2 linked regions of the Callithrix jacchus genome follow. Each later gene encodes a partner of the first gene's protein in a complex. Links are inferred from orthologs where the notes say so. Each region holds a gene or a part of one and is shown on either strand. Other genes may lie near its edges.

Evidence for each region. Proteins that work in one complex are often made in the same cells at the same time.
Region 2: the proteins of CAPN2 (region 1) and CAPNS1 are in contact, whole or in part, in a crystal structure (PDB 1KFU), measured with the Homo sapiens proteins. The link is inferred for Callithrix jacchus from reciprocal best matches to the Homo sapiens genes CAPN2 and CAPNS1. Residues at the interface, in NP_001739.3 of Homo sapiens: Ala2, Gly3, Ile4, Ala5, Lys7, Leu8, Ala9, Arg12, Glu13, Glu16, Phe60, Arg366, Arg416, Arg417, Arg418, Arg420, Asp494, Ile516, Phe551, Glu575, Lys578, Val581, Asp582, Asp585, Gly588, Ser589, Gly590, Gln641, Leu642, Gln644; in NP_001003962.1 of Homo sapiens: Thr85, His86, Ser88, Asp111, Asp112, Met113, Glu114, Ser116, Thr118, Asp142, Arg145, Ser146, Ala149, Val150, Met151, Asp152, Ser153, Asp154, Thr155, Thr156, Gly157, Gly160, Phe161, Glu163, Asn206, His208, Leu209, Met212, Ile213, Arg215.

Annotation. Positions count from the first base shown.
Region 1 is NC_133520.1:5,054,796-5,058,442, forward strand, and holds part of CAPN2 (calpain-2 catalytic subunit), read right to left. Parts: intron 2,816-3,647; coding exon 2,697-2,815; intron 1,502-2,696; coding exon 1,368-1,501; intron 8-1,367; coding exon 1-7. UniProt on the Homo sapiens protein: Calcium-regulated non-lysosomal thiol-protease which catalyzes limited proteolysis of substrates involved in cytoskeletal remodeling and signal transduction. Proteolytically cleaves MYOC at 'Arg-226'.
Region 2 is NC_133523.1:32,299,044-32,302,690, forward strand, and holds part of CAPNS1 (calpain small subunit 1), read left to right. Parts: intron 1-1,927; coding exon 1,928-1,996; intron 1,997-2,096; coding exon 2,097-2,175; intron 2,176-2,316; coding exon 2,317-2,433; intron 2,434-3,647. UniProt on the Homo sapiens protein: Regulatory subunit of the calcium-regulated non-lysosomal thiol-protease which catalyzes limited proteolysis of substrates involved in cytoskeletal remodeling and signal transduction. Essential for embryonic development.

The sequences.
Region 1 (3,647 bases):
ATTGATCCTACAAGAGGGGTTACATGCTACCATTACCCTTGACACTACTGATGTACATCCCCCACCCCCTAGTATCCCTTAGGTTTGATGCTCCAGGGACCCCCTGCTCACATTCTCCTTGGATTTGTCCCCAGCTTGGGGTGCCCAGGAAGGCAAGATATGGTGTCCGCAGTTAACATTTCCCTGGTATTCTGTGTTTTAAAAAAATCATCAGGCCAGGTGTGGTAGATCACGCCTGTAATCCCAGTATTTCGGGAGGCTGAGGTGGGTGGATCATTTGAAGTCAGGAGTCTGAGACCAGCCTGGCCAACATGGTGAAACCCCGTCTCTACTAAAAATACAAAAAAATTAGCTGGGTGTGGTGGCGCGTGCCTGTAGTCCCAGCTGCTCGGGAGGCTGAGGCAGGAGAATTGCTGAAACTCCAGAGGCGGAGCCTGCAGTGAGCCAAGATCATACCACTGCGCTCCAGCCTGGGCAACAGAGCGAAACTCTGTATCAAAAAAAAAAGTTCTCAGAGAACCTTAGAGTTGGAAGGACCTTAGTAATTTTCTGGATGAAACTCCTGTATTGATTCTTTCTACATCCTGACAAGAAAGGGGAGGACTAATGGGTCGTTTGGCATTGATAGCTTAAAAAAGGACACCAATTCAATAATGGAAGCGGTTTCCCTGAGAAACAGGCAGTGCGTTGGCAAGGGCTTAGTGCTCCTGACTCCTGATGCTGTAGCCCGGTGACCTCCCTGACTCGAGTATTGAGCAGTGGGACTCAGAAGCAGCCCTCAGCCCCCAGGTTCTCACAGCTGACCCCTCCTTCTTGGATTGAGACTGTAAGACACAGAAATCCACTTGCTGCCTTAGAGTGGGGTCACTTTAATGGAAGGAGTCGGGCAGCACAGCCAACATGGGGCCATTCTGGAGAGGGGCTGCTGTGGGGCTTCCTACTGAGAATGGGCAGCCCTGGGCACTGGACGAACTCCACTGTGGGCAGCTGGGGTGGGAAGCAGCTGCTAATCAGTCACATCTATTCTGGGCAAGTTTCCTACCTCTGCAATGAATGTTTTGCCCATTGGCAAAAACTTTTTTTTTTGTGTTGATACGAATGTGTCCTGCCAAGGAAGTGAGCCCCTTCTCAAGGCCAGCACAACCAGTACCATTAGTTGTTCCTGTGCATTTGGCTAAAGATGGTGACAGCTGTCATCTATTGGCGTACAGTGTGGCCAGGCACGGCAGGACTATCCCCTCGCATTTAGAGCCGAATTTTGGCCGAAGGAGTCCTTCCATAGAAAAGGACTTCCACTCAAAGTAGTCTTTTTGGAATCCAGGACAGTGGGGGCAGGCCATGGGGCCAGGGGAGGCATGGCAACTTACTTGGCGTAGGCCTTCTCCAGCAGGGCGCTCCAAAACTCGTTCCCCTCGGCTGAATGCACGAAGAGCAGCTCCCCATCCTTGGTGGGCAGCCTGTCATCCACCACCACCTCCACCCACTCGCCATATTGCCAAAACTGCAGGACAAGAGGAGAGGTGGGCTGGAGGAGGAGCTGGTGGCAGCGCTGGGACTCTGAGCCTCAGCTGCCTCTGGCTCCCCTCGCCCTGATCCCCTGGAATAGCTTCCCTGAGCCCGTCCTGGGACGCCTATGCAGGCCAAGTCTTCACTGAAAAAGCAAATACAGAGGCACCCGTCCATCCCTCCAAATCTACGCCCGCCTCTTTAGCATTCTGCCCTGCACCTTAGGCTTTCTTTTTTTTTTTTGAGACCATGTCTTGCTCTGTTGCCCAAGCTGGAGTGCAGTGGTGTGATCTCAGCTCACTGCAATCTCCACCTCCCGGATTCAAGTGATTCTCTTGCCTCAGCCTCCTGAGTAGCTGGGATTAAAGACTCGTGCCACCACACTCAGCTAATTTTTTTTTTTTTAAGTAGAGACAGGTTTTCCCCATATTGCCCAGGCTTGTCTCGAATTCCTGGGCTCAAGCAATCCATATGCCTCGGCCTCCCAAAGTGCTGACATTACAAGGATGAGCCACAGCAACTTGACTGGCTTTTCTTTTTCTTTTCTCTTCTTTTTTTTTTTTGAGATGGAGTCTCGCTCTGTTGCCCAGGCTGGAGTGCAGTGGCACTGTCTTGGCTCACTATAACCTCTACCTCTTTGGTTAAAGCGATTCTCCTGCCTCAGCCTCCCAAGTAGCTGAGACTATAGGTGTGCACCACTATGCCCAGCTAATTTTTGTATTTTTAGTTGAGATGGGGTTTCATTATGTTGGCCAGGCTGGTCTCGAACTCCTGACCTCAAATGATCCACGCATGTAGCCTCCCAAAGTGCTGAGATTACAGGCATGAGCCACCACACCCGGCCAGCTTTTTCAATTATTCCTCATTTACCAGCATAAAAGGATGAGAACTTCAATGTTTTGTTTCAAACTTCAAATAATACAGTTTTTTTTTTTAACTTGGGAATTATTTCCTGAATACTTTGCTCTACCTCCCCTTTTCCATGTCCCAAGAAGCCCCCCAGGGCCATCCTGGCAGGGTCCCACATTGGGTAAGCCAGAAAGCTTCCTGCTCTCACCCAGCGTCCTTTGTAGAACAGCGTGGGTCTTGGGAGTCTGCGAACACCAGGAACTGACGAACCCAGACAAGCCAGGAGACTTCCTAGCCCCCTGGACCCGATGAGGAACCACCTGAGTCAACCATTAAGTTACCTGGAAGTGGAAGATGCCTGCATAGTTCTCCTGGAAGCTCTGGTTTAGGGGGACGACTCGAGCCAGGATCTCTTCATTCAAAGTGAGGGAGGCAATGGCGGCCAGCAGCCAGCAGTCACCTGTGAACACAGCACAAGGAGCTGTTATCAGAGGGTCTCAGAACCAGGAGCATGTTAAAAATCTTGTCTCCATCTCTGGGGGCTTGAAGTCTAAGACAACCTGTGAATAGACAGAGTGAAGTTTCAGGCAGTCCTCCATCTGCGGGTCGGGTCAGGGGGGTTGGGTGCTATTAGGTTGGTGCGAAAGTAATTGCGAGTTTTGCACCAACCTAGTGTTTTGAGGGAAATGCAAAGGGAGAAATGTTTTTGCGTTTGTGGTTGGGCAGAGATGGGAAATTCCATTCCCTCAAAGACCCAGAACTCTGGGGGCTGAACTGTGTCCTCAGAGCCCAGCCCTGCCTGATTAGCTGCAGACGCTCCACAGTGAGCATCTGTGGAGGGAAGGAAACCAGCGCAGTTGCAGAGGCTTCTGAGCACACAGGCTTTGAATAGGAGTTTGAGCTGGGTGTGCTGGTGTGCGCCTGGAGTCCCAGCTATAATATTAATACTTGGGCGGCTGGGGTGGGAGTATCCCCCGAGCCCAGGATTTCAAGGCTGCAGTGAGCCATGATCGCACCATTTGCACTCTATGCTGGGCAACTGAGGGAGACCCTCATCTCTAAATAAACACACACATTTATAAAGGGGAGTTGAGTGAGAGAAAGGAAACGTAGTGTGAGACAGGAAGGGGACAAACGTTGCACGCCTCCTAGGAGGAGGGTCCAAGACAGGAAAAGAGGCCCCAGCAGGGAGTATAATTGCAGGAAGTGGGGAGCAGAGCAGATGGAAAAGCCCTGAGACAGAGGTAGAAGGCTGGATTATCTCCAAGGGTTTCTGTTCGGAGGGCAGAGGT
Region 2 (3,647 bases), on another chromosome or scaffold:
AGAGGCGTTCTGACTTTGAGTATTCTCAGCTTTTTTACGCTGGTTTCTTCCCGTCATTGTAAATTTATCCTCCTGTCTCTTTGAAATTACCAACTTTCAGATTAGGTCTCTTGAGTGGGTGTCCAGGTTGTTAGTTCCCAGGGCCAGAGCAGCGGCGTTAAAACTGATGGTGCTTTTCTGCCCAGGATTCTCTTGTCGGGCTTCCTTCTCGTGTTGGTAGTAGGCGACTCTGCCTTCCTGGGGCTCCAAACCTCGGTCAGAAGGGAAACCGGTCCTGTTCACTCTGCGCCGAGTGCTCTCGCGCCAAGGTGCCGTCACAGCGGCTGCGCCGGACTCTGGTGTCCTGCTGGGGACCAGTGCAGATCCTCCGAACCTGTTTACTTTGCTCCGAGAGCTGCCGCGCCAAGGTGCTGGCGGAACCACTGCACTGGCCACGAGAGTCGCGCTGGCCACCCTTGTGTTTCCTCCACTGGGGGATCTCCTGCTCCGTGAGCGACCAGAATTTGTCTGAAAGCGTGGCGTCCTCTAGTTCTCCGCGCCTTCCCTGAGAGCTGCAATCCCAGGATGTTAGCGATCGGCCATCTTGGATCATCCCTCTTTTTGTTTTTGAGATGGAGTTTCGCTCTTGTTACCCAGGCTGGAGTGCAATGGCGCAATCTCAGCTCACCGCAACCTCCGCTTCCTGGGTTCAGGCAATTCTCCTGCCTCAGCCTCCTGAGTAGCTGGGATTACAGGCATAAGCCACCATGCCCAGCTAATTTTTTTTTTTTTTTTTTTGAGACAGAGTTTCGCTCTTGTTACCCAGGCTGGAGTGCAATGGCGCGATCTCGGCTCACCGCAACCTCAGCCTCCTGAGTAGCTGGGATTATAGGCACGCACCACCATGCCCAGCTAATTTTTTGTATTTTTAGTAGAGACGGGTTTTCACCATGTTGACCAGGATGGTTTCGATCTCTTGACCTCGTGATCCACCTGCCTCGGCCTTCCAAAGTGCTGGGATTACAGGCTTGAGCCACCACGCCTGGCCAGTTCTTTGTTTTTCTTTTGAGATGAAGTCTTACTCTGTCGCCAGACTGGAGTTCAGTGGTACAGTTTCCTCTCACTGCAACCTCCACCTTCTGGTTTCAAGCAATTCTCCGGCCTTAGCCTCCTGAGTAGCTGGGATTACAGGCATGTGCCACCACACCTAGCTAATTTTGTATTTATAGTAGAGATGGGGTTTCTCCATGTTGGTCAGGCTGGTCTTGAACTCCTGACCTCAGGTGATCCACCCGCCTCGGCCTCCCAAAGTGCTGGGATTACAGGTGTGAGCTACAGCACCTGGCCTTTTTTTTTTTTTTTGAGACAGAGTTTCACTCTGTTGCCCAGCCTGAAGTACAGTGGTACCATCTCAGCTCACCGCAACTTTCACTTCCTAGGATTGAGTGATTTTCCTCTCTCAGCCTCCTGAGTACCTGGGATAACAGGTGTGCGCCACCACACCCGGCTAATTTTTATATTTTTAGTAGAGGCAGGGTTTCACCATGTTGGCCAGGCTGGTCTTGAACTCCTGAATTCAGAGTGATCTACCCACCTTGGCTTCCCAAAGTGCTGGATTAAAAGTGTGAGCCACTGTGCCTGGCCTATCAAGAATTTTCTGAACGGGCAATTAACAACTTTTTTCAGGCAACAAATTTGTACTTTAGAGTAGTTGAATATAATTCCTGATGGTTATGTTTAAAGAAAATCATTATTTAGAAATATAAGTCAACATATGTATGGATAAAATGAAAAATAAAACCACATGCCAGGTGACGTGATGAGGGCTGAGCAGGAGTTGAAGTGTCAGCCCTGGCTCCCCTGCTTGCTGTGTCACCATCGTGTCCACACTGCATGCGGTGCGTGCATCTGAGTGTAGCTGTCACTCTTCTTAACATCCTCCCACCAGAGCGACACCACAGGCAAGTTGGGCTTCGAGGAATTCAAGTACTTGTGGAACAACATCAAAAGGTGGCAGGTGTGTAGCAGCCCCTGAAATCCCTGGTACCCAGACCCCCAGCCACGGAGACACCATGCCCCACCATGCTCACTTGGACCCGATCTCTCTGTCCCCACAGGGCATATATAAACAGTTTGACACTGACCGGTCAGGAACCATCTGCAGCAGTGAACTCCCGGGGGCCTTTGAGGCAGCAGGTATGGCCGGCAGGGACGTGGTGGGGCTGGGAGTGGGATGGGTGAGAAAACCTCCACTCAGCTGGTCTGGGCCTGACTTTTGGGCATGGGAGTGGGTTGGGCCATGTGACCCCCACACCTGAAGGATGAAATCCATCTCAGGGTTCCACCTGAACGAGCATCTCTACAACATGATCATCAGACGCTACTCAGATGAAAGTGGGAACATGGATTTTGACAACTTCATCAGCTGCTTGGTCAGGCTGGATGCCATGTTCCGTGAGTGACGTCCCAGCTGTCTTCCTGGGTGGGGATTCCTGTGACTTCTGTGGGCCAACGTCTCCTCTAAACCTGACTGAGGTGGACGATGCTGGAGGCATGGCAGTGACTGAATCAGTCCTAGTTTCTGCCCTCATGGAGCGCACAGTCTAGTGGTGAAGAGAGAAGTCCCCAGACGCTGATAGTTCAGATTGTGATGGCTGGGAGAGGGAAAGCTCAGGGTAGAGTGATGGGTTGTGATGGGGGCAGCACAGGCAGAAGGTCTAGGGCTCTTGTTGGGGAAAGAGTGGGCAGAGCATGCTCAGATTGTGCTTGGGGAAGCCTAGAGGGCAGATGCAACCCAGGAGGCACCTGATGCAGCCCAAGGGGTCAGGGAGGGCTCCTGGAGAGGGAGCATTGAGTACTGAGGGATGAGGAGAGACTTGGTGAGAAGGTAGGGAATGCAGTTGCAGGCTGAGGGAACAGACTGTGCAAAGGCCTAGGAGGGAAAGAAGCTGGGGCTTCTGGGGCTTTTTGTTAGATTTTTTTCTTTTTTCTTTTCTTTTTTTTTGTTTTTTGAGACAGAGTCTCACTCTTGTTGCCCAAGCTGGAGTGCAATGGCACAATCTTGGCTCACTGCAGCCTCCGCCTCCTGGGTGCAAGTGATTCTCCTGCCTCAGCCTCCTGAGTAGCTGGATTACAGGCACCACCGTGCCCATAATTTTTTGTATTTTTAGTAGAGACAGGGGTTTCATCACGTTGGCCAGGCTGGTGTTGAATTCCTGACCTCAGGTGATCCACCTGCCTTGGCCTCCCAAAGTGCTGGGATTGTAGGCATGAGCTGCTGTGCCTGGCCAGGATTTATTTTAAGGAGTGCTTAAGCTGGGGTGCAGTGGGGAAGCAGACAGTTAGGAGGGGCAGTAGGGACTAGATCTTGAGGGCTTTTATGAGTTTTTTTTGTTTGTTTTTAAGAGACAAGGTCTCTGTCTTTGAGGCTGGAGTGCAGTGGCATGATCATGGCTCCCAAAGCCTCGATTTCCTAGGCTCCAGCCTCAGCTTCCCTAATACCTGGGACTACAGGTACACACACCATGCCTGGTTAATTTTTTAAATGTTTTGTGGATATAGGGTCTTGCTATGTTGCCCAGGCTGGTCTTGCACTCCTGGGCTCCAGCAGTCCTTCCACCTCAGCCTCCCAAAGCCTTGGTATTATAGGCTGCATGTGGCCTGAGTGT